Diceros bicornis minor: one gene and its partner. The protein of the gene in region 1 interacts with the protein of each later gene in a biochemical or structural test. Links are inferred from orthologs where the notes say so. Each region holds a gene or a part of one and is shown on either strand. Other genes may lie near its edges. The genes, in order: IRF4 and STAT6.

Evidence for each region.
Region 2: the proteins of IRF4 (region 1) and STAT6 form a complex in vitro, tested with the Homo sapiens proteins (2 studies listed by BioGRID). The link is inferred for Diceros bicornis minor from reciprocal best matches to the Homo sapiens genes IRF4 and STAT6.

The regions. Positions count from the first base shown.
Region 1 is NC_080753.1:65,922,956-65,939,109, reverse strand, and holds the start of IRF4 (interferon regulatory factor 4), read left to right. Parts: upstream 1-7,247; 5' UTR 7,248-7,288; intron 7,289-8,651; 5' UTR 8,652-8,712; coding exon 8,713-8,931; intron 8,932-10,311; coding exon 10,312-10,498; intron 10,499-11,323; coding exon 11,324-11,412; intron 11,413-12,116; coding exon 12,117-12,261; intron 12,262-14,432; coding exon 14,433-14,540; intron 14,541-16,154. UniProt on the Homo sapiens protein: Transcriptional activator. Binds to the interferon-stimulated response element (ISRE) of the MHC class I promoter. Binds the immunoglobulin lambda light chain enhancer, together with PU.1.
Region 2 is NC_080756.1:11,779,932-11,795,859, reverse strand, and holds the start of STAT6 (signal transducer and activator of transcription 6), read right to left. Parts: upstream 7,643-15,928; 5' UTR 7,498-7,642; intron 4,896-7,497; 5' UTR 4,875-4,895; coding exon 4,759-4,874; intron 4,369-4,758; coding exon 4,230-4,368; intron 3,942-4,229; coding exon 3,858-3,941; intron 3,418-3,857; coding exon 3,279-3,417; intron 3,159-3,278; coding exon 3,106-3,158; intron 2,900-3,105; coding exon 2,751-2,899; intron 2,158-2,750; coding exon 2,026-2,157; intron 1,900-2,025; coding exon 1,711-1,899; intron 1,410-1,710; coding exon 1,322-1,409; intron 1,185-1,321; coding exon 1,062-1,184; intron 471-1,061; coding exon 378-470; intron 36-377; coding exon 1-35. UniProt on the Homo sapiens protein: Carries out a dual function: signal transduction and activation of transcription. Involved in IL4/interleukin-4- and IL3/interleukin-3-mediated signaling.

The DNA of each region.
Region 1 (16,154 bases):
CTGGATAGCCTGGCTGGGGATGTGCAGGGCATGCTAAGGGAGAAAGGGATGGTGCCCCAAAGGAACCACAGCACCAACTACAGGTATGGCAGGACTCAGGAGGGCACTCGTGGGACTGGGTTCTGAGAGTGTTGGGCAAAGTGGGAGGAGGTTCAGATAAGAGAGACAGGATGGGACACCCAGTAAGGCCACAGGAGATGCTGGAAACACACAGGTAGGATGGTGCCTAGAAGTATGAGAAAGCAATGGCCTAAGTAAGGTGGATCTGCTACAGCCAGGGTGGGTGTGGGAGAAGGATGGAAGGATGTAGTACCCACCCTGAATGAGAACCCTCCATCTCGTCCCTGTCCTCAGTGGGACACTCAAGGCAGGAAGCCGAGGGGTGGAACTAGGAGCAGCCCCACTATTGTCACTCCCAGTGGCCATTTGGGGAATGTGTGCTTCTCATCTCCAAAGCTGGGCTCTGTGAGGTTAGAGGGCCTGGTTCTAAAGGCGACACTCTCCTCCAGGAGACAGAGGAGTACCACTGAGCTCTAAGCTAGGGCAGCCACCTGAGAGGCTCCTGGGGCCAGGGCCAGCAGGTGAGAAGTCACCATCTTGACCCTGCTTGTCAGAGATGGGGGCTGCTGTCATACAATAGGGCTGTACTCAAGTGACCCATTTGGGCTCCTCTTATGCTCCCTTGTGCATTTTTTTTTCTGGGAAAGATTCACCCTAAGTTAACATCTGTTGCCAATCTTCCTCTATTTTGTATGTGGGTCCCTGCCACAGCATGGCTGCTGATGAGTGGTGTAGGTCTGCGTCCGGGAACTGAACCCAGGCCACCAAAGTGGAGCACACCGAACTTAACCACTAGGCCACAGGGCCGGCCCCCCATTGTGCAGTTTTGATGGCGAATAGTAAGTGGGGGTGCAGCACCCCTGGACCACTAACAACATGGTGACCAGGGGTTAAAGCCCTTAGAAATGAAGGTTTAGGGCTCTCCATCAAGCCAGCCACTCGCCCAACAGAGCTGCTTGGTAAAAGTGAAGCGATCTGGAAAGGATAGAGGAGGAAGCACAATAGATAAATTTCAGCTGGGACCCCAAAACCAGCTACAGTGGCAGGCTGTAATTTGTCCCACTAACCTTCCTCTTCTAAGTTTCCTCCAGGACAAGGTTGCGAGATACAATACAGGATGTCTAGTTAAATTTGAGTTTCAGGTAAACAATGAATAGTTTCCTTAGTATATCTGAAGTATCACATGGAACATACACTAAAAAAAATTACTCATTGTTTATCTGAAATTCAAATTTAACTGGGAGTTCTATATTTTTATTTGCTAAACCTGACAACCCTACTCCAGGAAGAGAAACCACTAGAAGCCTGGAGGAGCTGCTCCCAGGACATATAAAATGAAGTGGATCAAAGCAGAGCCAGAAGCAGCCTCAGGGAGATGCCGCCAGGTGCTGCTCAGATCCCCACTCGAGAGCAGAGATTCACTTCCCCTGCTCTCGGGCTGTTCCTGGAAGATGGTTCTCAGCAGGCAGCCCTCTCAGGAGGTTGTTCCAGGTAAAGAAAACCACCTTGCCCACTTCATGCCTCCTTCCAGGGGCAGCCTGCACTGTGACTCATTAGCCCACAGACTAAAGGCCTCTCGCTTCACGCCAACTCCGACAGAGCAGGCTCCTCCTCCTCCAGAGCTCTGCAGTGTGGACCGGGGCTTTCTGGTAGGGTGCTGCATCTCAGCTCTCTTCCTCCAATCCTGCTTCCTCCCTGTGACTCCATGGTTATTCGGCCAACAGCGCCCCCTAATAAATGTCCCACCACTAACCTTCATGTCAGGGTCTGCTGCGGCCCCCAGTTACAGGCTCGGGGAGGCCTGGGGTCACATTGTATTTTTGTCACCAAAAGCATGCCCTTAGAGGAAAGACATATTCATTTTTAGAGCTCATTGCTAGGAGCCGCTCAGCACTTTTAGATGCCATGGTTCAAAGATGATCAAGAGACAATTCTGTTTCCAAACGCTAAAGGAGCAGAGGGACCGTGCCCAAAGGAGCCACAGCACCCACCTAGATCAAGACCCATCCCACTGGATGTTGGGATGTCATCTCAAACACCCCCTATCTAGTCCCCATAAACCTGTTCCTCCTCCAGACTTCTCTATTTAAGTTCTTGGTCACACCATCGCCCAGTCTCCCAGCCTGGAAACTCCCCAGTAATCTTCACCTCCTGCCTCCTCACCCCACATCCACCCAGCCCTTGTGACCCTTCCTTGCCTCCTCTGATCGCCTCTCTGTCCGCCCCGTCCCAGCTCCTTGCCTCTTGCCTGAGTCTTCTCTGGGCTCCAGGCCTTTCTTCCCCCCACCTTCCCCACGCTACTGCCAGGCTGCTCTTCCTTCAGTGCAGTTCTCACCTCACAAAAGGGGGATATGAGTCATGGTGATGCGAAGCTTAAAGAACCAGCCCAGAGTTCTCCCTGTATCCTTTCTCTACACGCTGTGACCAGGAATGTTCTAGATAGATGCTGCTTGGTCGGCCTGGATTCTCAGAGTGTGATGACAAGCAATAAATAGCTCATGTAAACAAGAAGCAGCCCTGTGTGGCTGTCAGCCCCTGAGACACGGGGGCTTGTTCTGGAGCATCGTCTACCCTTCCCTGAAAATGCACTCCACCACCCAAGGTATCCTCGGGTCTCAGAAGTAATACTTCATCTGTGACAAGTGATGGTGTGTCGTCTCACAATGTCCAGCTGAAATGACAGCTGATGAACATTAGAACACCCCAACATTCTGAACTGCACAAATGGGTGGATTCAGATAAAGCCATTTGCTTTTCACCTACTGCTTCAATTTTCAGAAAATTGCCCAAAGTTATTGCAAACCATTTGCATTTTTGTTGGCTTGGTGAAGGGAGTTGGCAGTATCAAGTGGTCCCTTGTTAAAAGCCACGTCACTACGTATGTAGAGAACATAATAAGCCAGAAAGAGAATGTTCCTCGGAGACTTCTTAGAATACTGGCAAGAAGAGGAGATAAACAGAACAGTTGTTTATAAACAAAGGGAAAAGAGACAACATTGCCTTAGTGTCTTTGACTTCGTGACTTTTTATTACACAATTGATTAAAATGACAAGTCTAGTTTCCCATAGCCTGAAAGTGGATTCTACTCTGTGCCTGGGGAAAAGCCATGTGTATTAGCTCTGTGGCCTAAAAGAGTTTAACTAGTCCTGAACAGCCTGTGTTCTCGGAATGCTTAACGCTACAGATCTGCAAAGTTCTTTCATGGAAGAAACTCAGAGCACTTGGTGAATTAAATTAGGAAAGTACATACAGCTCTGCATGAAAAAATTCAGCTTTATGTGCCATATTGGTATTGTCAAAAATCTATCACTTTACAAAGAAACTTCAACTCAACTTCTTCAAACTGGGTGTGCAGTGAGAGCATTTACTCATAATAAACGATACTCATTTCCAGAGTATTCCATCCCAAAACCTCCCCTGTATTAGTAGCATAGAAGGTTAGATTTTTTCAGAGGATTAAACTGGCTGAGAATCAGCACTGTTTCCTCCAATTTCCTCAAAGTGAATATTGCTTTGAGAAGAAGAGCAAAGAGAAGATCAGTGGTTAGGTCAGTGGCTTTAAAAAAATGCCGCTTTTCTTACTCTGAATTTACCATAACCAACAAGGCCACTGGCTGCCAATAATAGTTTAAGTTAGAGCAGAAAGAAGAAAACAATGATTTAGGGTTGGAAGAAGGTTCAGTGGTTGCCTACTGCCAACCTCCACTTCACAGACAGGAGAACGAGGTCAGAAGACTGCACCTTACCCACACTGACTTACCCACTGAGTGCCAGACTGGAGTCAGGACGCCACCTCCAGACCCACAGGCCTGCACTCGCAGGCTGATCCTGAAATATCAGTGCAGCAGGCAGCCAAATACCCGTAGAAAGGAAAAAGAACAGTTCGTCAGAAGGTGTCCTTGGCAAGCCATCCGGACCTCAGTGAATCTCTGAATCTCTTTCCTTATCTGTACAATGGGGCTGAATATCACCTGCCCTGCCTCCAGGCAGATGGGGTTGGGAGATCAAATGAGATATAGTCTTCCTAAATGTTGAAGCAAAACATAAATGATAATAGTCCCGATGTGTTGAACACTTGGAACATGTGAGGCATTGTGCTAAGCATCATTTCGTTATCACAGCATACGAGGAGGCAAGAAAGCCATTGCCTTCATTGTACCTGGGAAGGTAAGACTTTGGTTAAATAGTTCACCCAAGACCTCACGGATTTCAACCAGGTCTAGCTGACTGTCGTATTTGAGCATTTAATTACCAATAATACCATCCAATAATACTACTAAATACAATACTATAAGATACTACTAATATGTAGTATATATCACTGTACTAGTACTATACCATACAATGTACTATAGTACTTATTATATATATAATATATATAATATAATATATATAGTACTAATATTATATAGTACTATAGTACATTGTATAGTATAGTACATACTATAGTATATTACTATATTACTCTAGTATAGTATATTGTATATTACTCTATTACGTAGATATATTACTATTTATAAAATAATATAATAATACAATAATAGTATAATAGTACTGCCATACAAGATACCATGGTCAATGATAATAATTAGCATTGCACACACATATAGCCAAAGAGCATTAGAGGAGATAGTTATCCCATATGAACTACATCATAACATTTTTAGTATTTTCCTGATTTTTTACAGGTAGTTAAAAATGATTGCCCTTTAACCTTTTTCACGGATATAGTTGCATTGTTTTTAACAAATTGTAGTACTCTCCCCTTTCAAAGAATGAATTAGTGAGAAAATACTTTTATCCAAAACAGGGTTTCAGTAATTTATTTTTTGTGCCTAGTATGGGTTTTTCTAAAATATTTTCTTACATGTGAATGTAAAATTTTAAAAGACTGATTTTTAAAATATTGAATTTAGGTAAATTCAGCTTTTCTTATAGTCTCTTTACAATAAATGTGAATTGGAAATTGCAGCACTCTGTTCAGATTGGGCTCCACCTACAATGGCATTTCCACATCTGGACCATTCACTGAAATAACCTCCTTGCAGAATATCATGATCAGCCTTTGTCTTAGGTAGATATTCAATTTACTGATTTCCTATTTGTTTGCACTTTTTAACAAGTTGTGACATTTGAAGATAACTATCTATCTTTTACTGAGGAACACTTTGATTTCTCAAGTGTGTGGGGGGAAGGTCAACTTTAAAAACTTTTGTCCTTTTTCTTTCGACTGTGACTAAGATGTCTTTGGTGAGCAACTGGCAGCCCCTACCTGCTCACTCCCTCCCCTTCCCCAGGAGTGATGAGGACATCAAGAGTTTTAGTGATTAAAATATATTATTCTTTGTATTCACCTCATCATAAAAAAAAAAAATCACTTCCAGTAGATCAATATGACAATGAATAAACCAGAAGATGGCGTTGAAGATTAGCAATCACATTTTAAAACAAGGTAGATGTTGTAAAGTCTCAGAAAGTTTCATACAGCCGGTGTTGTTTTGAACTTCTAAAAGGAGATGACTGAGGAAAATGTTGAAACTAACTAAAGCTGGTGCAGAGAACACGTGTGCGAAAGTGCTAAAAGCTCTCATTTGCCATTTTTGTTTTTAGCAATCTCCTTCTGTCTGTTGTTTGTGAACACCTTGGGGAAAAGTAATTCACTGATTAAAATGTAATGCAACATGGAGGCATGATCTCTGCTTCCTTCACTGAGTATCCCAGTGCCTACAACCATTCCAGACAAGCAGCAGGTGCGCAAAAAATGTTTGTGGAATGAATGAATCTGTGAAAGGAGAAGAAAAACAGGGTGTAACCAGAATTTTCTTTGAACAAAACCCTGTTGTTTATTACACAGACTCTGATAATGGAAAACTTACTTGGGTGAATAAAAATATGGCATCCTGTGAATTTCTGAGAAAGTCCGTTAGTTGTAGGAAAAGCATTTCTAGTCTGTGCCTCACTCACGGCCTGTTTTGCTCCAGCCTAACCCTATTTTTTTCTTTGGGTAGGAGACATTGACCCAATATATAAGATTAAAAGAAAAACTGAGAAATAAGTGAAATCAAAAGCTTTTCAAAAGTTGCAAGTTGACCTGCGGTGGCGATGGTCTAAAATCATATAGAAACCGCTGATCTGACGGTTTACCTGCAATCGCTAAGTACGTAAACATGCTCGGAGCATCCAAGACGCTCCGGCGAAAGCGCAGTGGTCAGGGAGCTAGTTTGGATAATAAGGGCATCCTAGAAAATTAAGTAAAATTGCAGGTCCGTTTGGATGTTACTCCTGTTGCGGACATTTATACCCCAGATTGCTTCCTACCAGGTTGAGGTTAAAACCATGTCAGTTAAAGTGAACTGAAGTGCAGAAGCAATTAAGCGCTGGGATACTTCGGGATCCCTCCCCCAACTCTTTCATGTTGCCATAATTGAAACTTTGGGGGTCATGCATTGTCTATCTGAGTCACCTCAATTCACCAGTTTAATAGATGCAAGAGCGTGTAAGCATTTCGAACATGTGGACAGTATTTGAACCACAGTTTATGGCTCAAGGGATCTGGGCCATTTCCTTTTTTCTTTTTAATGAGCACGATGTTCTCTAAAGACCGTGGAGGAGCAGGGTTCTCGGTGACAGCGAGGGTCACCCCTCGCTGGGTGTGACCCACCCACCCACAGTTCCTCGATGTGGACAATTCCTCCGTCTTTGGTTACGTGCTCCACAAGCGAAGTCCCCTTCGCACCGGATTCCCGCTCCTACACGCCCCCCACTTCCCGCCCTAACCGTGTCGCTGTCTTTAGCTGTTACTAGTTGTCGACGGGCCTCCCGCAGGTCCTGGCGCGGAGGCGAGGTCCCCATTTCGCGCCTTGTCCTTCGCAGGAAACCGCCCAGAGTGAGGGTCCCCGAGGCCGCGCGAGCCCCACTCGAGGTGCGTTCGCTCTGCGCGGCGCGAGGCGGGTCGCCGAGGGCGCCGGAGCCCCCAGCCTGCGGCGGCAACCCCCCCGGACCCCGTTCCTCTGGCCCGGGCCCTGGGAGTCGCCCGCCGAGCCCTCGTTCTCCTCTCGCGGCGCACCGCCCCCCAGCCCCGCGGGCGCAACCGGCCCCGCCCGCCGCAGGCTCCGCCCCCAGCGCGGCTTTTAAGCTCTATAAAGTTCCTCTTTCCCACCTCTGAATCTTAGTTTCACCGCTTGAACTTAGGACCCACCGCTGCCCTCAGCTCCGAGTCGGGGCGAGGTAAGGTCTGGGGTCGGGCAGCAGCATAGATGTGAGGGTGGCACGACAGAGAACCGGGGGCGCGAGACCAGAGGTCCCGGGGTCCATCTCCAGGGCAGCGCAGGGGACCCCAGCTTCGGAGCCGGGAGGGAGCACGCCCCTTGAGGGATCCCCGACTCCCCCTATCTGCTCTGGGTCCGGGGCCTTTGTGCGGGCTCGGTGGAGGGTCGCCCAGGTCGCTGCCCGAGCACTCCCGCCGTCTCTCCCTGCTCCCGCGGCCCCACCACTCTGCAGTCGGCCCAGCCCGGGCCGGGGGAGGCCACGCGCGGGACGGGATAACGAGACTGTCAGAGCCCCAGGAGTGGCCGAAGCGGGGCAGTCGAAGGGACCCACACGGGGTGGCGGGCTTTCCCGCGGGGGACAGTCCCTTACTCCCGAGGCTCCAATCCGAGGCTCCTTCTCTTGCTCCTCGTTCTTAAGGGGCCCAAACTCACCGCGGCCTCCGGCGCGTTGCCCCCCGAGTAGTGGTGGAGGAGGAGAAGGAGCTCCAAATATGGGCTCCTCGGGGCGCTGCGCCCTGCGGTCCCTCGCTCTCCCCGGCACCCTCCCTGCCTCCGCTCTTCCTCGCGGGCCTCTGGGTCCGGCTGACGCTCGGCGTCCCGGAATCTCCCGCTACTTGGCAGCGCTCCTCACCAAAGACCAGGTGTCTATCGCTTGTTGCTTCCAAGGCCCACTTAATCCTTGCTATCTGGCGAGGGCTCAGGGATATTCTTGGAACAAAGAGTGCGGGTGCGGGAGGTTCTAGAAGGCCGGAGGAGGAGTTGCTGAGTGCCGCGCACCTGGAACGCCCCGACCGCAGGCGAACCCGCGTGCGAGATCCTTGGCGCACGGGGGCCATCAGGGGAGTGTGAATTGGGGAGTGGGCGAGAGTGGAAACTGACAGTGAAGGGGGAAATGGACTGGCGTCGGCTTGGGACTGGGCTAAGAGGAGCGGGAACTACGAGTGAGCGTGCAAACGGAGTGCCAAGAGTGGTGGCGGCTGGATTTGGGAGCGTGCGCAAAGGCGAGAGTTGTGTGTCCGGGCAGCACTTGGGCTGTGGGGTGCGTAACAAGAATGGAAAGTTCAGAAGGTGGGGTAGAAGGATGGACTCCACGGAGGGCGCGCTCGGGAGGCGTCAGGACTGTGCGCGCCAAGGGCACGAGCCCGGGCCAAGTGAGAAGGTGCTTTCTCCTAAGGGCCTTTGGCAACACCGACTTCTTAGCGCGCGCGCCTCGCTGCCTCGGAGACTCCGGCACCTCGTGGTCATTACCAGAGGGGGTTGGGACAGGGTGCCCCGAGCGCTGTGCCGCAGTGGCTGAAAGGCGGCCCTCCTCTCCCCTGCAGCTCAGAGCGAGTGCCGGAGGCGGATCCTGAGCGCGTGAGGGCGACAGTCGGCGCGCTGGGCATGAACCTGGAGGGCGGCGGCGGCCGAGGCGGAGAGTTCGGCATGAGCTCCGTGAGCTGCGGCAACGGGAAACTCCGCCAGTGGCTGATCGACCAGATCGACAGCGGCAAGTACCCAGGGCTGGTGTGGGAGAACGAGGAGAAGAGCATCTTCCGCATCCCCTGGAAGCACGCGGGCAAACAGGACTACAACCGTGAGGAGGACGCCGCCCTCTTCAAGGTTACAAGCCCGCGGGGAGCCCACGGTCGGGATGGGAGAGGGCCCCGGAGAGCCCGGACGGTCCCTAACCCCCACCCCGCGGCGAGGCCGGCCCGCGCCGGCGCGCCCGGCGGTTCTCAGAGGGAAGGGGACCACACGGGGTGCGCGGGACGGTGTGTGCCCCTTAGGGCGAGGGGCCCGCGAGCATCAGGTGGCGATCGGCCCAAGCCACGGGAGAAGGAGAGAGGTGTCAACTACTCTAGTGATTTCACAAATGGGGGGACCGGGTCCCAATCCTGAGTGTGTGATGTGAGCAGTACCCAGGGAGTCGGGCGGCTCCAGCGGCAGGGAAATGCCTGGAGGCTAACCCCGGGTAGCGGCGTCCAAGGACGCTGGCTTGGGTGTTATAGTGCATTACTGTTCTCATCGGAGCCTTTTTCTGTCCCTCTGGATCCCTCCTTGCCTCTTTGATCAGTGTGTGTGTCTGTCTCTTTCTGGGAGCACCCGGAGTGTGCTCGAGTCTGTGTCTGTTTTTCTGTCTCTCTCATTAGTCTGTATTTGTTTCTGTTTTTTCTCTCCTGTTCTCTCTCTCTGGATATTTTTCCTTTGGTTGTCTCTATCTCTGGCACGTGCTCTCTCCTTCTAGCTGAGTCCTTCCATCTGCTTCTCCTCTTTCTGTCTCCCTCTGTCTGACTCCCTCTTTCCAAGTCTTTCTGGAAAATTTTCTCTGAGTTTCTCTCTCTCTCTCTCTTTCCTTCTGGGTCTTTCCATCTTACTGTGTGTTTCTCTCTTTCTTTCTGTCACTCTCTCTCTTCCCCTCTCTCCTCCCCACCCCCTTTGGATTTCTCTCTCTTTCTCTTCTTACTCGCTGTCCTCTCTCTGGACCTTTCTCTCCTGCCCTCGGTGTGTGTGTCCCTCTCATGACGGTTCTCCCTAGAGCAGTGCACCCACTGAACTGTGCATCAGGGCCCAGCCCCACCACCTGTGGGCAGAGCAGGGACGGGGACTTCCTCAGGGACTTTGCCCTCACGAGACCTCAGATGGTCTGACTGTCCACATGTGCTCTACAAGTAGCAGCTCAGCCACAGCTCTGTCCCTAGTTCCAATCAAACTTGCTTCAGACACTGGGTGGGTAGCCTTTCCAGCGGTCCTCCACATCTCACCTGTCTTTTACAAATACCGAGGGAATGTTCAAACCACTTGCCTTCAGCTCAGCGATGATAGGGTCCAGGGTGGAAAGTATTTTACCTGGAGGACACCTGGGGTCTCTTTGTCTCACATTTTGAGCAACAGTGTAAATCTGAAGCACCTAAGCACCATTCTTTCCTTTAGAAATGCAATTCCTAGATTCTTTTTTAAAAGATCTGTATTTTAACTATTTTGCCTCTTCTTTCCCACCAGGCTTGGGCGCTGTTTAAAGGAAAGTTCCGAGAAGGCATTGATAAGCCGGATCCCCCGACCTGGAAGACACGTTTACGATGTGCTTTGAACAAGAGCAATGACTTTGAGGAACTGGTTGAGAGGAGCCAGTTGGACATCTCAGACCCCTATAAAGTATACAGGATTGTTCCCGAGGGAGCCAAAAAAGGTGGGCCTTCTTGGATTTGGGTCCCAGAATATGGGCAGCCTGACACTTGTAAGGCCTTGATTTCATTCCGAAGGCCACTTTTCCTGTTTTGGTCTTACAGGCTGCCTGCCTCCTGGCCCAGGGCCAAGCCCGGCAGGCCGTAGCCCAAGTTCTCTGGGCCGCAACTGACATTCTTGTGGCATTAGTGCGGGGTGGTTTGTCGGGCTTCAAGTCTCTAACTGGGTGCGCCTGCGTGTGCACGTCTGTGTGTTTCCACACAGTTCTATCAAGATGTGGGCCAAATTTCCAAACAAAAGACGGAAAGCTTGTTCGAAGCTTTACTTACCTATCAGTCTTTCATGATTAACCATTTTGTAGAAGAGAAGCGTCGATACATCCATATATTGTTGCTATTTATAGTAATAAAATGTCAACTTTTAGAGTGTACTGTGATCAGCTGGGGTGCTTATTAAAGTTCAGATTCCCGCTTTCCAAGATTCTGACCAGTGTGTCAGAGTGGAGCCCAGGAATCTGCATTTTAAACAAACCATCCAGGTGACCTCACTTTGGGAACATCTTGCTGGTGGGGCCCTTTATGTCGCAAGGTGTATCCACCACAGCATTGCATTGATTTCTCTACCAGTCCTATGTAAGTCAGACCTTGTAGAAATCAGTTTAACGGCCAGAACAAATAATTGCCCAGGGTAATTGCTGAAAAATGCCTCGTCAACACTGTGTTATGCCTTGTGAGAATTAAACCCTCAGGTGTTTTTCTAAGATCTGAGCTTTGGTTATGTTAGGTCCTTTTTTCACACTGTGCCATTTCCCTTTCACCCAAATACACAGGAGCAAAGCAGCTCACACTGGAGGACCCCCAGATGACTATGAGCCACCCCTACACCATGACGGCTCCTTACCCCTCACTCCCAGCTCAGGTAGGCGGAGGGCTCAGACACGGCTTCCAGAAGGCAGGCTGGATCTCTGTGAGGCCACGTGAGCTGGCTAGGCCCACACAGCAGGAGAAATGCGCAGAGGCCACAGAGCTTTGTTGTTGCTACTAGTCCGACAACCAAAGCAAAGCCCTGGTCATTGAATGGATGCCTCACTTTCCCCTGGAGTTGCAATCAGTGTTGGTTCTGAGGGGGGCACGGGGGCCTGCCTGTCGGTATCAACTTCTATGACTGGTTCTGAAATCTGCTGGAAAACAGACCTTTTGTGGAAGGTGAAGATTTTGGAAGTAGTGGTTTTATCATGTGAAACCACAGGGCAGCTGACCCCTCACACTCTCCTGAGGGTGCCAGCGCTCTGGTCTGTTCCCTTTGGTGAGTGGAGAAGGCACATGCCCTGCAGTGCTTTGCGCTGGCTCCAACCACATGATGCAGCTCGGTGTGATCACAGCCTTACAACACTGCTTCACTGTGCGCCTTGACTCCCTGTGGCTCATCTCCACCTAGTGTGATGAGGGATTCACTCCAAAGTCTTTCCTGGTGATAAAATGATTTGGCTGCCAGCCAAATAAGAGATTCCCTGAGGAGTTGGGGAGGATATAAAAGAATCTGTGCCCCTTTCCCAGTGCCAACAGCTGTTCTTTGCTGAGCTGGTTGCTTTGCATCTCAGCTCCTCCCTCGTGTTCCTTTAGCAGGTTCATAACTACATGATGCCCCCCCACGACCGAAGCTGGAGGGAGTACGTCCCTGATCAGCCACACCCGGAAATCCCGTATCAATGTCCTGTGACGTTTGGACCCCGAAGCCACCACTGGCAAGGCCCAGCTTGTGAAAATGGTAAGGAGTGCACTGGGGCTGGCTCCCATGGCTGCCACTGACCCAGCAGAGCAAAGCAAAGGGCCCTGGTCTCTCCTGAGCTGTCCTTCTGGGCAGTACACGGCTCTTTCTCCTTCTCAGAGCTGCTAGGAAAGACCTCCTGTGCAGTGAGGGAGAGTGTTCTCTCTCATGCAGGATGGTAAGGTCCTCAGAGGAAGGACGCCAAGGTTTACTGACGATGGCTGGCTTATTGTGTGCTGGGACCTGTGTTTGAAACTGCCTTATGTGGGATCTTATTCAGACATTGCGGAGATCATTCCAGGCAGCTAAAAACTGCCGCAGTTTTTTAGAGGCAAGCTCATAGAATGTAAGTAATGTGCCCACAGTTACCCAGTGAGAGTGCGGAGCTGGGGTTCAATGTCAGATCTCCTGACCCCAAAGCCCAGCCTTCCGCTTAAGACAGGGGAAGTCAGATGTCAAAGTGGTTGGCTATATTTTTTAAATTATCTGTTTAATAGGTTAACATTTTTCATCCTCCTTCAATAATCTTAAGCTTTATTTTTACTCTTGGGCAAAAAGTAGTAAATTTTGGCAGTCTGCCCTCCTGGATTGTCGCTTCAGTGTTGACTGAGGGCCATATAATCACCGGTCTCTTTCTGTGTACACATCTGTAAAATGGGGGTGTGCTACAGCTGTGCCCACAGCCTCCCTCTATAGGGACACCAGGAGATTACTGGGCTCTGTGCCTATGTAGTTGTTCTTAGGATTAAAGGTGATAGTAAGAAGGGAGGGAACAAACATGAGGATAAAAACATCGAAAGTCTCCACAGGGTGCCTGGTGCTGGGGGTGGGTCTCTAAGAGCTGCCCCCTCCGGAGTAGAGGTGGCCCCGTGCCCCGGGAGGCCCCGGACGCAAGGTGAGAGCTCCCAGCAGAAGCGCTAGTTAGCTAAGAGCAGAAAATATTTCACAGGATGTAGTCAATACAGCAAAACACAAGCTTTTAGGACTTCTGAGTTAGTTATTTAAATAGAAATTCTGCGATAGGTCAAAGCACAGGTCCTTTTGTATGTTCTAGGAATATTGACTCCTTCACAATGTGGCCTATCCCCCTTTTTCTAGTCATGTTCAGTCCACTCTTGGCTTATGGTATTGAAGAAGTATACCATTACTTAAGATTTGTATTGCGTGGCATGTTTACAAAGAAACCTCAGAATTCGGTTTTATTAGCTTTCAAGAGTGATTTGCAACAGAAGTTGGTTTTCCAAATCACAGTGGAGGAATTAGCTAACACTAAACTGGTGTTCAGACCTGTGTCCAGTGCATCAGGCTCTATTGAACTAATAACCTTAGTAAAGAGACAATGCTTAGAACTGTGCAAAAGGATGGAATAGGTAGACATATTTTGAGGGGTAGGTGACATTAAATGAAGTGCCAACAAAATTAGATTCTGTTATTATTTCTTTTTTAATGTTTAGTGCACCACACAGCTGCTGTGCTGCCAAGAGAACTGGTTCAGTTTTCTCTTGAACCCAGAAGTAGCAAGCTAAATCAACGTGTACTAAACAATTTGTAAGATTTTAATTGGGCTCTTTGGCACCAGAACTCACTTAGACTTGAACTCACAGCTCTCCTGTGCACTTGCTGTGTGAGCAAGGGTAAACTGCTTCATCTGTCTGAGCCTCAGTCACCCTGTTTACCAGCTGTGGGGGATGCTGGTCAAAGGGTACAAACTTCCGACTATAAGATGGTCAATTCTGGGGATCTAATGTACAGCATGGTGACTGTTGTCAGCAGTACTCCTACTGGACTAAAAGTTGCTAAAAAAGTAGATCTCCACACACACACATACACACACACAACAGTAATTATGTGAGGTGATGGAAGTGTTAACCAACCTTAAAAAAAAAAAAAAGAATGAATAAATGAAAGAAAATTACAGCGGGGCAGCTCCAGAGTGTCCTTCCAAAGCTGTGGAAAGACTCCTTCCTCCTTCCATTTGGTTTTTCCAATTGGACTTCAGTGTGTCTTTGCCTCTTGTGAGTACCGGCGGTAGGTGGTCAGCAGGCCTGTGGCCCTCCCCTCCCAGGGTTGGTGCCACCAGGGCCCGAGTGGCCACACCTCAGGGAGAGGCAGCCTCCTTATGGGTCGGACTAACTGTTTAGACATCATCTGATTTTTATTTGCAAATGCAGGTTGCCAGGTGACAGGAACCTTTTATGCTTGTGCCCCGCCTGAGTCCCAGGCCCCCGGGATCCCCATAGAGCCAAGCATAAGGTCTGCCGAGGCCCTGGCGCTGTCAGGTGAGTGCGCGTTCTCGCTAAAGGCACCCACGGAGGCCGCGCTGGCAGGCTTCCCCTCACCTTTGGGTGGATCTGCTGGGGCAATAGGTGAGCACGCCTGTGGGCACTCCCTTTCCTCCAGCTAGCGCCTGAAGTGGGTGTGGGCATATCTGCCTCCCAACCTGTATGAATGAGGAACACCATTAGAAAAGTGAGCACTGAGAAGCCAGCTTATGACTCTGATGCCAATTCTAAACGCTGGTGAAGTGAGTCATTTTAAGTTCTCCACTGGCATCTGTCTGAATTTCCAAGAATATGCAAATGCTCCAGTTTCATCTACCAAGGGCCCCTTTTCAGCCAGCCTTTTCACAGAGCAGTTTAGTTTCTGAGAAGAAAAGCACGAGGCTTCTCCTTTTGAAAAGCTGATCATCCTTCCAGGGTTAGCCGCAAATGTGTCTTCCTCCTGGGCTTCCTGGGGACGTTAGTGCTGGCTCCTTTCTCTGCACAACATTCATATGCCTAAAAGGAGCAAGCACTGTGTCTTCCTCTGAACTTTGATATGGCTTGCAAATAGGTATGGATTAGATCTGATTTTTAAAGTTCCATTTCTAAAAGAATCCCTGTACCTCGGAGATCTCACCTGCTTTAAAGAAGGCACCTCAGGTTTACTAAGCATATGTACATGTGTATATTTATTTTTTAGATAATCTTTTGGATTGTTTTAAAATGAGATTTGTATTTATTTTAAAAATGAATAGCTTAAGCTTCAGAATGTTTACTTTGCCCCTGGCCTCTTTAAAAATCAGTGACAGAAATATGAACTAAATCCTCAAGGTTTCAGGGAGATGAGAGTTATGGGTACCTTTCTCGATCCCAGGGGAGCTGGAGTTTTACCACTTAGTTGTTTTCAGTTCCGAAGTTCCAAATGAGGCTATTTGTCTTCCTAGGTGCTCCCAAATGGTGGAGGGTAGGAGATATTTCTGAGCAGGAAGGCTTGTGTTTGTTTTTAGAAACTTTCAAACCCTTTTCTTGAGCACCTAAGACTGTGTGGGTGCCTGAAGAGTAGGAAATAAACAGCTATTTATATCACTGTGACCTCGTGATTTCTGATGACATTAAATGAAATGAAACCTGCCCTGCAAGTCACCTCAAATGGCCAACACCCACTCTCGTCGGGGTGCGCGCCTGAGCTCCTCTCTGCCAGCGCGTTCACAGCGGCAGAAATTGAAGTGGAGAATTGAGACAGTGATGTGGGTTGTTTAAGTCTCAGAACCTGCCACTGAGGAATAAGAGGGTTTTGTGGGTTTCTTTTTCTGGTATGCATAATACAGATAAATTACCAACCTTGAGTGCATTTATTAGAGAACTGCAATTCCCGTTCATTTTTAAATCCCATGCAGGTGCCGATGGGGAGCTCCTGCCTGTCCGTGAAGCCCTGTTGATTTCAGTTCAGGGGCCTTTGCAAACCTAGCTGGGACCGTTCAGTCATGGGTCATATTTTAAAGAGGCTTCTGAAATCAGCAAAATTTCATAAATGAATTCGTCTTGTTTAATGCTTTAGAAAGCATAGTTTTAGAGTTATTTTCAACCTTAAACACAAAGCCTAGTGGGGTTTCGGCAGAATTTACTCTTAGA
Region 2 (15,928 bases), on another chromosome or scaffold:
GGCACACGCTCAGCCACCACAAAGGGCACACGGTCCTGGGGACAAGGGGGAAGGAAAGGGTGCCTCAGGCTATCATCCCCAGTCTTCCTCAGGAGGACCTTCATCCTTCCCACCTCCCCAAGGCTGCCCCTCCCCAGTGATGTCGCTCTGGGCTCGCTCACAAAGGCCGTGCTTTACCAACAGTAGTTTAGGGTGCTATGGCACAATGGTTGTTAAGACTGGCAGGAAAAGAGGACAGAAGCATGAAAGCAGATCCATGAGAAGGAGTTAAGGTCACTCCCATTTGAACATGCCTGCCACCCCACCAGCCTGCTCCCCAACCCTTCATGTTAGAGCCCACCCCATCCCTGTCCCCCCTACTCCAGGTCTTTCCTCACCATTTCAGAGAAGGCATTGTCCCACAGGATGGTAGCTTTGGCATTGTTGTCTTGGTTGCCATGGACGATGACCACCAAGGGCAGAGACAGAGCCTGAAGGAGGTGAGGAGAGGGACAAGGGGCTTCCTTAGGGGCTGGCCCTGAGGGTGCAAGGAAGCTCCTGGACTCATATGACATAGTTAAAAGCTCATGGTAATGTTATCAAATGCTTTCCGAAGCTCAGTTAGGACCTTACTGTAGAGAAGTGGTTGTGAGTCAGTGCTTGGAGCCAGACCTCCAGATTTCAAATGCCAGTTCCAGCACTTAGAAGCTGTGCGACCTGGGAAAATTACTTAATCTCCCTGTGTCTCAATGTCCTCATCTGTAAAATGAGGCTAATAATAATACCTACCTCATCATGTCATGGTGAAAACTGTGTGCGTGTGTGTGTATGTGTGTCACTTAAAACAGTGCCCTGGTCTACAAAAAGTGTGTAATAAGTGCTTAGTTGCTACTACACTGTTATTACCTGGCATGTGCACTCCATGTTCTTGCTCCTTCCATCTCACCTTGGCCCCAGTGGGCATAAATCCCAGACACCCAGGGTATGGGACAGTCATGAGGAGTGAGGATCCAGGGCCCCAGTGTGTGGCATGGAGGGGGACGTGGGGCCCCAGATTGGGCAGGGCTGTGGCCTCGGTTCACCTGGAGCTGGATGGGGAGTTTGTTGGGGCCGAGCGTGAAGCTAGTGGAGAAGAGCACCGCACACTTCTCCTCGGTGACAGATTCAGTGCCCTTCCGCTCACACCGCTTGATTTTCTTCAGAAGCTGTGAGGTGGGGTGAGGGAGAGGAGGGGTGAGGGCAGAGACCGCTTCTCCTGGGCTCCCAACTCCCTCACCAAGGAAAGTCCCATAGTCTGAGGACCCCTGCCCCCCTCCCTGCCCGCTGCTCCCTGAAGCCTCACCAGGTTCTTGAAAAGGGCAGAGCAGCAGTTCCCAGGAATGCTGTTCTCCAGGGGCACGGTGTTGTTGATGATTTCCCCACTGCTTTCTCTGCCAGGGGAGTCAGAGAGGCTCAGCCCATGCAGGCCAGGTGTCTGGAAGAGCTGGAGTCCACGGGTGAATGGCGTGGACTACGGGCCCCAAATCTCCATCTCCTCGCTTAAGTTCTTAAGGGAGAAGTCCCCATCTTGGCCAAATTGTGATGCTCCCACCCCATTCCAGCGCGGAATGGGCTGCCTTGACCATTCAGGTCTCACATCCCATGGCCCTCCCTCCCCATCACCTGCTCTTTGTGGGGCCCGGCTCCTCTGGCCTCCACCACCCCAACAGGCCTTCTCCAGCCCCAGCTTACGCGCCAGCCCCAGGCCCCTGGGGCATGCTCAGCTCCCTCGCCTGCTTCTCGGTCACCATGTCAGCCCTGACCAGCGGAGGCTTGGCCGGGGCCCCCAGGAACCGTAGGCCTAGCAGGAATCGAACCCCAGCCTGGAACTTGGTCTGAGTCTTCAGAACCTGCGGGGGCTGCTTCTCCACCAGGAAAGAGCTGGGAGGAGTGAGGAGGACACAAGGGGAGTTGGCAGCTGAGTCCCTCCTGGTGCCCTCCCCACAACTCTGCCCTCTTCCTTCCTTGGGGTCTGCCCTAGGCCAGGCTGAGGGCTCCCCGGCGTACCTGGTGACGAGGGTTCGCAGGACTTCATCTAGCCGGCTAATCAGCGCTGCCCGGGTCTTGGGCTCAAGCTCCCCACTAGCTGCCCCCACCTCCTGCTGCAGCTGGGAATAAATGTCCACCAGGCTCTCACACCTGGGGCCAGGACAGTGGTCAGGGGGCACAGGATTCAGGCTGCCTGCGGCGGCCCAGACCCCCTTCCCCTAAACCCAGGAAGAGAGCAGGAGAGTGTGTGTGGAGGGGTGGCAGGGGCAGTGGGTGTGGCTGCACCGTGCCTGAGCTGAAGGGGTTCTGGGACTTGCCTTGGCTCTGGGTGGGAGGTTCCTTCTCAATGCCTGCACCCCCTGTGGAAACCCAGAGGCCTCTTCCTCAGGGCTCTGATACCCAGGTCTGCTGCCAGCCCGTATGGTGCTTTTTGCGCAAATTGAAAGGGGCCCCGCCCAGGAGACCAAATGGAAAAAGGCCTCCCACTCCTCTGGGCATGGGGCTTGAAGAGAAAAGCATGGGTTGGATGAACGCCTGCTGGTGCCCCCTCAGCCAGGCGCACTTATACAGGTGGCAACCTGAGCCACAGTTGGCACAGCTCTGCGGGAACGGGCTCCTCTGAGTCTTGGCCCCCTCCAAGGCCTTCTTGCCTGGCTTTTTCTCTCATGTCTGGGGGGCCTCCAGCAGGGATAGCAAGTGCCCACCTCCAGCCCACTCTCCGTCCCCGTCAGCCCTGCCCCAACCTCTCCTGTAGTGGGGCCAGGCTCTCCTCAAAGGGGGCACCATTCCCTGCCAGCTGCTGCTGCCGCTTCCACATCTGAATCCTCTTCAGCACCAGGGCCTTGGCAGCCTCCAGCTCCCCGACAGTCTCCTGCAGCACCGTGGCCAGAGCCTGTGGGCAGGGAGGGCCTGAGCTAGGGCCACACACTGCCTCCTTCCCCGGCTCCTGAGGGGAGCACTCTCTTTCTCATGTCTCCGCATTCCCTGACCCCACATCAGTCTGTGTCTCTCTGAGGCTCAGTCTCCATCCCTTACAGATCGGAAATCCCTTGAAGCTCGCACTTTGAGCTCATCTCCACCTCTCAGGTCATTACTCACCTCACTTGGCCCAGTCCCATTGGCAGGAGTTTCTATCAAGCTGTGCAGAGACACTAGGGGCAGAAATCAGGGATGCAGATAAATGTGAGGTTCAGTCAATGTTGAGGTCCAAGAGGCGATCCCTCCCACACACTCCCCAGAATCCTCTTAGGGCTCTGGGCCCAGGCCCACACCTTGGCCAGCCTCAGCCTCCTGCTGCACGGCTTCTCGGAGTAGGCGGGCTTCCCCCAGTCGGTGCTGCAGCCTCTGCAGGACTGTGTTAAACTTGAGTTCCTCCTGCTTCCAGTGGAAGGGTGCTGGCAGATGGCCGAACTGCACAGGATAGACAGATGCCAAGAGGTGAGACACTCTGCCCATCCCTCTACACCCGGCCTCCACTCCCTAAAGTGGTGCCTACAGCCATGCTCTGCAGAAAAGGAGATAGACCACTTCCCTTGTCTGGCTCTCCTCTCCCCTTTGATAGTTCTTCCTGAGCTTTTGGAATCTCCTGGGGATAAGACCTCTCTTCTGGCAGAATCAACTCTTTATCTCTTGTTCTCTCCTCCCCAGACCTCGCTACCCTCGGTCCCTCATTTGAAGTTTTCCTGAGCTTAGCTTGGGGTTTACTCTGACCCCAGGAACCTCCTTTAGTCATCCTGGGCCTAGAACATTGAGCCTTTCTTCAAGTTCAAATTCCGTTTAGAGGGAATTCTCATGGCTCAAGCTAAAGTACCAGAATTGGGTTGGGGTGGGAGGTGGGTATCACACAGTACCTGTTCCCTAACAGCATTTTTCTCTCCTTGCAGTATTTGTTTGAAAGAGGCCACCAGCTTCAGGGGGTCCCTCTGATATATGCTCTATAGAAATGAAGGGTGGTGGACAGGGTTAGCCAGGCTCTTAGCCATGTCATTCTCCCACTTCAATCCCCTCCATTCACATACACACTGAAAGGCAGCGTAACTGTAGACTCCAGAAGCTCTCATGTATTTGCATGCTTTTAAAATCTAATTTGCATGCTAGCTAACAGCTAACCACAGGAACACCAATTTGCTTCCAGCAGCCAACCAATTTCTTCCAGCATCCAATGCTCACCACAGCTCCACTCTGGCCCCACCCCAGCCTTGTCCCTTCCCTCCTGCCCCCACCTCCAGGGTGCTGATGTGTTGCAAGATGGCGCTTCCCTCCCCCTGCTCTCCGGCTGAGGTCTGAAGGCGCTGGACAGTGGTGGAAAGTAGGGCGCTGGCCATGTTGCAGCAGAAGGCATCTGAGCCAACCAGGAACTCCCTGCAGGAAGATCAGGATGAGGCAGCCTCGAGTCAGGGCTTCCTCAGCTCCACTGACCCTTCACCCCACAGCAAACAGCTCAGCAGCCCTCCACCCCCATTCTCCATCCTCTGCAGCCCTCATCCGTGCTCCTTGTGCCCTAATTTTCCACTGTTAGGGGAAGTGCCCTTGCCCCAGCCCTGACTTTGTGCTCTTTGGCTCTGCCTCCTAAGGGGGTGAGGGACTCCATGTGTCAATAGGCATAGTCTGGTTGATGCAGCACAGACTCCCGCTAAATCTAGGCCACCATCCGTGAGTCCCAAGTCCCGAAATGGGGCGGAGAAAATCTGATGCGGGGGAAGGTGGGTGGGGGAGGACCTGGGGGATGAGCATGGGGCAGCTGGGACTCACCAGGGCTGGTTCTCCAGCCAGTCACCCAGAAGATGCCGCAGGTGTTGGGGAAAGTCGACATAGAGCCGCTGCAGCTTTTCTGGGGGCATCTTGAGGACCAGACCCCACAGAGACATGATCTGGGGTTAGGAGGGTGCCTGGAGGAAAGGAACAAGGCCACTCTGAGAGGTGCCAAAGAAAGCTGGCCCATGTTGTGGGGCAGCCAGGGACCTCCCAGAGACCACCCTCACCACCACTCACAGCCAGACCACCTCAAACCAGGGACATCCTTGGTCAACGCCTGAGACAAGGTAATCCCTTCAAGGGTAGACACAGGGGTGATGGGGTGGGAAGAGCTGAGCCGCAGCCAGCGGGGTGGGAGACGATGGAGACGGGGCAGTAGGGAAAGCTCTCTGAGAGAATGCAGAGGATGTGGGCTGCAGCTCTAGGGCTGGCTCTGGTTCTGTGGGCAAGGAGCCTCCCCTCTGTGGACCCGATCTTCTCATCTATAAAATATGAGGCTTGGATAAGTGCAGAACTTTCCAAACTTTTTAAAGCAGTAGCCAATTTTAGTTTTAATGTGTGGAACCCCAATTATTTAAGATTGGACTTTCTCTGTTGAAAGCAAGTGTGGTAGGCCAGGAACGCTACTGCTCCCCTCTCCCCACCTCTTGACCTCAAAGGTGTCCCTGAGAAACCCCTCAAAATTCCAGGGCTCCATGAGATAATTTGAAGACTACACGGCTAGACGATGAAGAAGAGGATAGTAGAGTAATAATAGCTGCCATTTATTAAGCACTTACTATGTATGAGGCATTACACTAAGGGTGTTATCCCCAAACCTCACAATAATTTTTAAAATAGGTAGTTATCCTCTTTCATAGATGAAGACACCGAGTCTCAAGGAGATTTTCTAACGTGCCAAGGCCACTCAGCAAGTGAGTTCCGAAATCAGGATATGGATCTGAGTGAGAATTAACCACCACACTGTGCCATTAGGATGCTTTCCAGATGCAAATCCTGTCATCCTAAGAGGAGGGGGTGTGGCAGCAGAACTGAAGAAGGGGAGGTGGAGCAAAGGGGAATGTAGAAAGAGCTTAGGAAGAAGGTGAGAGATATTGGAGGAAAAGTGGGGTTAATAAGCCTGGAGTGAAGAGCCTAGAAGCGGGGAGAGGAAGCTAGAGAGCTAGAAGGCCAAGGGCAGAGGAGAAGAAAGGGAGGGAGGAAAGGAGGAGACGGGAGAAGGAGGGGAGAGGGTTTTACTGGGTGGGCTGCCAGGTGAGGTGGGTAAACCAGTGGTTTCCCAGGGGTCTCTCAGTTCATGTTTCTCATAATGTCCCTTCCCAAAGATGAGGGGGAGGATGGGGATGGAAACTCCCTGGGTCTCCCCCAACCCAGAAACCCCAAGTCCTCCTGTTGCACTTTTAGCCTCTCCCCTTCCCCAGGACTCCCAAAGGGATGGAGAACAGAGGGGCCCCTTCTCAGGGACTCCAGCTCCAAGACCCTCTTGCCCCTCCCCCCCAGTCCCTATCCCCTCCAGCACTTTTCTCCCAGTGGCAGAATCCTCCCCTTCCTGCTCAGGGTCCTCCAACAGGCCTTTCTCCACTCCTCGGGGTGGGGCACCTTTTGCTCTGTGTTGCAGATTCACCGGAGGACTCCGTTGTCTTTTCTGTCTTCCTCTCCCGCTTCTCCTGGCGCTCAGACCTTTGACCCTCTGGCCCTATCCTACTGGGGACTGAGGTGATCCCTAAACCGCAGGCAGCCCCCCTTTCCTCTCTATCCCCTTGTTGAGTGACCAGCCTCCCGGCATGGCCCTGGCTTCAACTCCCCTTCCCTACTCCGTCCCCAATATCCAGATGTCAGGAGGCCACACTTTTCCCCACCCTCACCCAATGACAAGGCTGAGGGGGTTGGCCTGCCAGGACAGGGGCACCTTCTGCTTTAAGCCCCTCTCCAAGACCCGCAGAGAGGGAGGAGCCGCGGTGGGAGGGGCGGGGCCCGCCTTCCCGTCCCAATCGCGCAGGGAAGCCCCACGTCCGGGATCCTCTTCGGCCGGCTTCGTGGCCTAAACCCGATCACCTCAACCCCAACGTTCCCGAGTCCTCTGGCCATGGGACCAAAGGATCAAAAGTCAAAAGCTTCTCTGAGTTGCCCAATGTGTGTCGGTGACGGTGGGAGCGGGGAGGGGGCGGGGGAGGCGGAGCCAGTTCAGCACGAGGAGGGTTAACTCGGCGCCGCCGGGAAATCTCGGCGTCTACAGCAGCCAAGCGTGGAGCAGTTTTGAGGGGGAAATTCCCCCTCCTCTGGGGCACCATGAGGTCTACATCTGGGGCTCGCTCACCCCCCAGCCACACCCTTGAACAGGAACCTTTGTGGGGGGACAGGCTAGGGGTTTGTCTATGACCCACTGCCTTCTGGCATCAACCTTCTAGGGAGGGGCAGCCACTTCCCCCCACCCAGAGGGCAGAGGGGCACCTCCTTGCCCTCCTTTCCCTGTCTTCACATGTCCCCGGAGGTGCGCGGGCGGGGGTGTGGAAAAAGTGACCCATGGGGGGTGGGAGTGCGGGGCCTGTACCCACCCCAGATTCCTCTGAGAGTTCGAAACTGCCAAGACCCAGTACCACCAGCTCCTGAAACAATTTCTTGGGGACCATACACCTCGCCCAGGGAGGATCCTGAGAGGCCCCCCGCCAACCCATCCCCGCACACCCTCATAGTCAGAGGGTCCCCACCCTGCCCTCCTCGGAGGCATCCCCTCACCTTGGCAACCCCTCTGCTGTCTTCTCCCTCTCTCAGCGGGCACTGCCAGGCCCCATGAGTCTGTAGCTCTGTCCAGCGAGTTCGGGGCTGGCCCTGCCAGCACCCCCCCTCCACCACCACCACCGAAAAGAAACACACACACACACACACACACACACACACACACACACACACACACACACACAGAGTCCTCTCCCGTCCTTCCTCTTCAGTGTAAGCAGTGGCTGCCCCAGCCCGCTGTTTCCGGCTTCTCCGTCTACCCAGGTCCCTCCCTGGAGCTCTGACGACACAGAGAAGAGAAAGTGGGCTGGAGGAGGAAGAGGAAGAAAGTAGGGCGAGCATGTGTGCCTTCTGTGCCTGGTGAGGGTGTACAGGGTGGGGGGAGCCAGGACTGGGGCTTGGGGCCCTGGGGCCAAGCTGGAGTGGGAGGCTGATCCCCACTTACTCTGTCCCCCTCAAAAGTGATCAACTTTTCTCCAGAAAGCCACCTAATATCAAGCAGAGACATGCCGCCCCAAACTGCCTGTCCTGTACTCAAACTTTCGAAGTGGCCCAGGGTTTGGGCTCACGAGGGACTGGACTCCCCGGGGCCTCTGGCAAAGCAAATCCCTCTGGGCTCTGCGCTCCCTCCAGTGGAAGACCCTGAAAAGCAGCCGGGGAGCTCATCGCCGCAGGAACTCCTAGGTCCTCCTCCCTTCTTGGTGGTGAACGCCTTAGAGGTCCCGTGACCACTGATGGGAGGGAGTGGGGGAGGGGACCCCGAAGCTCAGAATTCTGGAAGACTCCAGAAGGAGTCCTGCAGACTGAAAACCATCTCTGCCCCTCCACACAGGGTACTACTCCTTAGACCCTGGTGGGAGTTGACACGAGCCGGAGTTGCTGCCTGCAGATTACCAAGGGACAAATTTGAATATGAATCTGCTGTGCACCCTTGGCGAAGTTCCTGTCTGTTTCTGTGGTAACCACTGAGACACACCCAGAAACACACACACACATGCACAACTTCTCCAGTCACAAGCTACACACACACACACACACACACACATGCTTACACACACATGCGAGCAGGCTCACAGACATGTCAGCACTCAGAGACACACACTCACATACACAGAGCTTGCCCAGCTTCTGAGTCATCATCGTTACTAGTGGGTGGTTTCTGCAGCTTTTGCTGGAGGAGCTGGAGGCCAAGGGACCCAGAGAGGCCTTCACATCCCCAAATCTGGGAGACGTGGTGCATGGAAAGGGTGGTTTCTGGGGGGCGGTGGGAGGTGGAAGGACGTTTCTACTCCCCTCTGTTCTCCCCAAATAGGGCTAGGCTCAGGGGCCAAAGCTAGGCCTATGCTGCCCCCTGGTGCCTGAATTGAATCCCAGAACCCAGCTCCTCCCACTCCCATCCCGTAGGGATGGGCCTGTGTGTGCCGGAGGGCATGTGTGTGGGCCTGGCCGGCAGCAGAGGGTAGCAGTTAAGAATCTGGACTCTGGAGACAGGCTGCTTGGGTTTGAATCCTGCCAGCGCCGCTAACTGTACAACTCTGGGCAATCTACAATTTGTGATTCAGTTTTGTCGTCTGAAAAATGGAACAAATAATAGTCTTAACTCATAAGGTTGTAGGAGTGACATGTGATAATACGTGTGAAGGCTGAGGACAGTGCCTTCACATAGGAAACAGCAGGCACTATTTTTATAGCCCAGAATAAACCAAGCACGAGGATGGCAGAAGGGCCTCCATCCTACACAGGGGTCCTGGATTTGGGGGTAATATTAGCGCCACAAAGACAGAGCCTATTGGAGGAATGTGTGTTTCTGTGTTTATTGTGTCTGGAAGGCAGTGGATGGAAGAGGAGGGAGAGTAGGGGTGGAGATGGCGGGCGGGGAATCTGATCTCAGCAGTGCCAGGGTCGCAGTGTGTGCACGTAGGCGCTCACAGCACACACACTTTGTATGTGCTCCCATGTGCCCACGCTGCCTGCAGACGTCCACAGACAGTGCCTGAATTCAGGCTTTGCCATCTAAGGGGCTCAGGAGGTCCAAGTTCCCTAGAACTTTGCCAAGAGGAGGGGAGGAGGGAACGCAGTCTCTAACTGACTCCTTTTGGGGATGGGAAGGTGAGGAGCCAGTACTGGTGGGAAAATAATATTTATTGTCATTCTCTCTAACTGATTGCACCAATGGGGACACTGTGATAGCATGGAAAGAACCCAGAATTTAGAGGCAAATCTGGCTTGGGTCTGACTCCACTTAAGAGCTCTGTGATTGTGTGTCAGCTCCTCAAACAGAGACAACAGTTACATCCACTTCACACGGCCTAAGCTGGGGTGAGGTGTCTAGGGTGCGGAATTTAAGGAGGCACTCATCTCAGGTCATGCAATTGCAGGGTTGGCTAGACTTTCAGTAATGCCACCCCCTTACACACCCTGAGAGTGAGCGCCTTGCCTGCCTCCCCTCCTCTGGGCCCTGCCATCCCCCCAAGTGGCTGAAAGATTGCATGAGAGAAAGACTAGGAAAAAAGAACTTTGTGATCTGTGAACTGCAGGTTGCAACCCAATAATGAGTCACAAATCAATTTGATGGGTGTGTTAGTTTGCTAGGGCTGCCGTAACAAAGTACCACAAGCTGGGTGGCTTAAACAACAGAAATTTATTAGTCACAGTAAAGGCTAGAAGTCCAGGTGTTAGCAGGGTTGGTCCCTTCTGAGGGCTGTGAGAGAATCTGTTCCAGGCCTCTCTCCTTGGCTTGTAGATGGCTGTCTAATGTTCCCATGGTGTTCTCCCTGTATGCCAGTCTGTCTCCAAATTTCCTCTTTTTATAAGGACATCAGTCATATTGGATTAGGGCCCACCCTAATGACTTCATTTTAACTTGATTACCTCTATAAAGACCCTATCTCCAAATAAGGTCACATTCTGAGGGACTGGGGACACCTCATATGAATATGAATTTTCAAGGGACATATGAATTCAACATACAAATATATGAATTTTTGAGAGACACAGTTCAACCCATAACAGTGAGCCTTGACCATCCCTTTTTTTAAACAAAGTAGAGTAGAATAGAACAGCAAATATCAGAACGTATCACCTAAAGTTAGGATAAGTAGTGTCTAAGGAAACTTGTGTCAGTTTTATGTATGTATTTGAGTTCTAGGTCTTGATGTAAAAGACACTTTTAGTGCAGGTTGTGATCAAAAAAACAAAGCACCATTTGGATGTTGGTGACCATCACATATCACTTTGTGTTGCTTTTTAACGATTTTATGGGTGTATCCTTCTTCTCTGACAAGAACATAAGCTTGCAGAGGGTGGGGATTCCTATCCCCCTGTACACACTGCTGTGCAGCTAATAAAGACAATGTCTGCTCTTGCTAGTGACAAGGACCACTGTTTACTGAGTGCTTACTATGTATATGGCACTGGGCTAAATGTTTTACATACACTCTCTGATGGAAAGACTGACCTTAGTGATGGATTGATGGCAGGAGCTCAGTACATTTCACAGATAAGATGAGTGGGTGCCTTGTTCAGAGCACTGGACAGTGGCCTGGGATTTGTGGAGGATTGAGGGATAGAAGGAAAAGGTCACAGAAGAAGTGTGGACCCCTACCCAGCCCTGTCTGCCAGGCCTTTTCTATTCTCCCCAAATTCGCATCCGCTTTGATGCCAACTCACCACTTAGATTAGAGGAAACAGAGGCCATCAGTTGGAAACTCCCCCAGTTTCCTGCTCCCTACTGACAGACACATTCATTGGCACCCGCACTCTCCCTGCAGGCTCAGAGGAGAGGGTGTCTCTGCCTCTGCCTCTGCCCCCAATACGTCCCTCCACTTGTGCTCAGGGCCCCTCCCTCTTGCCTCCTCAGGCTCTGTTCCATTAAATGTCCCTTCGATTCTCCAAGTCTCCAGCCTCTCCTTCCTTAGTTAGTACAGCTCTTTCCTCTCAGCCTGTACACATGTTCAAATCCCTCCCACCTTTAAAAAAGTAAAATCAAACTGACAGCAAGCAAGCAAAACCAATCCTCCCAGAATCTATGTCCACTTAATTCAACAAAAACTTGTTGGGTGTCTGTTCTCTGGCTCTTACAGCTGAGAGGGGGAGGCAGATTAGTTAACAAACAACGATACTGCCGGATAATTGGGGCTGTGATTCCAGTGAAGGACAAGGTGCCATGGGAGCACATAGAATGGGCCATCTAAACTAGGTAGGGGGTAGGGGAGATCAGGGAGGGGTTCCTGGAGGAGGTGATGCCTTAACCGAATCCTGAAGGAAAAATAGGAGTTATTCAGGCAAAGAACAAGAGGAGAGTTAAACGAGGAAGAAGATCTAGCATGGACAAAAGCATGGATACTTCAGGAGCATGGTACCTTCTGGATATGGATAGTACTTGGCGATGGGGAGCATTAGAGGATCCAGGCAGGTGAGTAATGTGATGAGGTTTAGTAGAGAGACCACCCTTGCTGCAGTGTGGAGGACGGATTTAAAGTGTAAGTCTGAAGCTAGGAGAACAGTTCAGAAAGTTGATCATAACAGAGGAGGAGACTGCTTGTCGGAGAAGTAGAAGTGAAGCATTGTGGGCGGAATCCAAGGCTGGTTAGGAAGAGAAGTAAAGACAGGAGGAGCCAGTGGGTAAGGATAGAACAGAGCGAAGGAACTGGAAGTCTCAACAGACTTAAAGACTGACCTTCCTGGGAGCAAGGGAAAGAAAGAGCTGGAGGGTTGGAATGTTGTGGTCAGAGACAGGGGGTGAGACTTCAGTCTGGCCCTCCTGGGAGGGTGTGGGACAGGTTGTGGCTATGGCGACATGGCGTAAGTCACTGGAGTTGAGGAGGGCAAGGAAACAGGAGGCCAGGGTGCTGCTGGACTACCGGCATGAACACTGAGGCCATCTGGGTTTGCAGAAGACCTGCGGTGAACAGGAAGACAGTGACTCGGATGCCAGAGTCTTCAAGGAGTGTGGGCAAGTGACCAAGACATCAGTGGATGAATGATAACTAACATTTAGTGAGGGTTTATGCGTTACTTCAATTCCTACTTTAAAAAATCTAAGCACTGTACATTTTATCCTACAATGATACTATGAGAAAGAACTATGTGCCCAACATGGTAGTGACTAACCATATGTGGCTGTTTAATTTTAATTAAAAAATTCAGTTCCTCAGATGCACTAGCCACATTTCAAATGCTCAATAGCCACACATGGCTAATGGCTACTATGTTAGCACAGACGTGGGACCTTTCCATCATCACAGAAAGTTCTGTTGAGAGCACTGATAGCCCTCATTTTACAGATGAGGAAACTGTGATGTGGAAAGGTTAAGTAACCGGCCCAAGGCCAAAGAGCTGGCAAGTGACAGAGCTGGGATTTGAACTCAGTTAGTCTGACGCAGGCACTGAGGCTGTAAGCAGTAAGCTACACATCTTCTCAATGGACGGTGAAGTATCGGGCCCTGAAAACGAAGAGGAATTAATATGACTCTCGGGGCAAGCACTGCTGGTGCCTACTCAGCAGCAAGCCTTTCTCCCTTGCTGGCAAAGTCTGGATTTTGTACAGGGATTCCCCTCCCGTACGTTCAGGGGATGAATCTAATTGGTCTAGCCAATCATGGTCTGTCTGTTCCCCTGGCCAGTGACTCAGTCCTGGCCAACAGGACTTTAGGGGGCCATTGGGTACAATTTTGTTCTTCTTCAATGACGAGTCCACATGTGAGGACTAGAACAGCTGCAACCAGTTGCAACTGTGAGAGGAGATACCATCGACCACTGAGGATAGAGTAGCAGTGTGAAGAGGTAGAAAATTCTTGCTAAAGCACGAGCCCTGGATCTGCTGTAGAACTCCTCATTGTTCAGTCTAATTTAGTTGGGTCTTCTGTTACTTGTGGCTAGATGCATCCCTAACTGAGACCTTGGTGGAGCCATACTGACTACAGGAAATGGAGAGCCTGGAGTGGGCTGACTGCCCACGCTCCCACCACCACCCGTCTTGTGCACTTGGGAGAATAAGTGATATCTCTTTAAAGGAAGTGTCCTCAGGAAAGAGCCAGGTTTCGGGCAAGCAAAGAGGGGCAAGGACAATCTGAGCCAAGGGTGGTCCAAGGCTTCCTGCAAGGAGGAGGTAGGGAGAAGCGCAAGAGTGGTCAGGAAGAGGAAGCACTGGGCTGAGTGGAGAAGGGTGGACGCCCACTGAGGTCTGCCAAGGATGACAGGATGTGAGCAATGGCAAAGTCAGCTGATCTCCAGCTTCCAAATGAAGCCCTGGGGCTGTCAGAGGCTCTGTGGCCAACAGACCTTCACCTCACAGAAGGACAAGTAGTAGCCCTGGTGGGTGGGTAAAGTCAAGCATCTCTGGATGGAGCCAGCTGTGGTCAGGATTGAGCCTCTGCAAGGAAATTCCAGCCCTCTAACTGGCACTATAATTACTGTCTTGCCTCTCTCTCTTGTCCCCTGTGCAGCCAAACTTCTTGGGAAAGTTATTCACATTTACTGTCTTCCCTTCCTCACCTCCTCAGTACACCGCCAGCTAGCTGCTGCCCCCATCAGTCCCATGAAACTGTTCTGGCCATGTCACACGTACCCTCCTAGGTGCCCAGAATGATGGTCCACCCCTGTCCTTCTCTCCCTGGACCTCTCTGCAGGATTCAGCACTGTTAATGGCTCTTGAGTAAGCCCTCCCTCCGTTGATGTTCATGGTCCCTTTCTCCTGCTCTTCCTCCTACCTCTCTGGGTGCTCCTCAGTCTCCTGTCTTCATGGGCTACTCTTCCTGTGTGATCTCATGGCACCCAAGGCTGCAGCATTCTAGAGGCAAAGCAATGTAATGTGGTGGTTAAAACTGTGGCCTCTGGGGCCAGGCCACCGGGGTTCAAATCCCTGCCTCACCACTTGGTGGCGGTATGACATCCAAACCCCTATCAAGATGTAGATCATTGTCCTCACTCCATCCCCGAGGGGGAGCCACTGCTCTGATTTTTTTTCACCATAGATTAGTTTTGTCTGTTCTAGAATTCATATAAATGGAGTAAAACAGGATGTGCTTTTATGTCTGGCTTCTTTTACTCACCATGTCTGAGATTCATCTGTGTGGTTGAGTGTATCCATAGTTTATCCATTTTTATTACTAACTATTAGCCCATTGTAGAGATATAACAGTTTGTTCATCCTTTTTTTGATGATAAACACCTGGGCTGTAGCCAGTTTTTGGCTATTATGAAGAAAACTGCTATGAACATTTTTGCTGACATCTTTGTGTGAGCGTGTTTTCTCTTCTCTTTAATAAATAACTGGGAGTATAATTGCTGGGTCATAGGTTAGGTACATGCTTAGCTTTATAAGAAACTGCTACATACTATTCCAAATTGATAGAACATTTTACATTCCCACCAACACTGTGTGAGAGTTCCAGTTGCTCTATATTCTCACTAACATTTGGTATTGTCAGATTTTTAAAGTTTTCATTTTGGTGAGTGGGGAGAATTATCTCATTGTGGTTTTAACTTGCATTTTCTTGATGACTAAAGATATTGAGCACTTTTCATGTGTTTATTGGCCATTAATATAGGTTCTTTTGTGAAGTCTCAATTCAAATCATGGGGCCAGCCCCATGGTGTAGTAGTTAAGTCTGGCGCGCTCCGCTTCAGTGGCCCAGGTTCATGGGTTTGGATCTCGGGCATGGACCTACACCACCCGTCAAGCCATGTTGTGACGGCGACCTACATACAAAATAGAGGAAGATTGGCACAGATGTTACCTCAGGGCTAATCTTCTCAAGCAAAAAAAGAGGAGGATTGGCAACAGATGTTAGCTCAGAGTGAATCTTCCTCACCAAAAAAAAAAAAAAAGTCTTGTGTACACTTTTTAAAAAATTGGGATGTCTTTTTATTACTGTGTTATAGGAAATTTTTTATATACCCTGGATAACAGTCCTTTGTCAGATCAATGTTTTGCTTACCTGTTTGGTTTACTTATTCATTTTCTTAATGATGTCTTTTGAGGAGCGAAGCTTTTTAATTTTGATGTTTCTTTTATCAGTGCTTTTCTTTTATGGTTATTGCTTTCCATGACAAGAAATTTTTGCCTACCTCCAAGTCATGAAGATATGCTTTGTTTTCATCTAAAAGCTTTATGATTTCCCCTTTTATGGTTTAGATCTATGATCCATCTTGAATTAATTTTTGCATATGGTGTGAGGTAGGGGTCAGGGTACACTTATTTCTCTTATATGGATATTCAGTTGTTCCAGCACCCTTTGTTGAAAAGACATTCCTTTCCCCCATGGATTACTTTGACACCTTTGTCAAAATCAAATGACCTTTATTTTTTTTTTAACAGTTTTGCTTTTATTTTATTATTTTTTGCATGTGTGTGTGAGGCAGATCAGCCCTGAGCTAACATCTGTCACCAATCCTCCTCTTTTTGCTGAGGAAGACTGGCCCTGGGCTA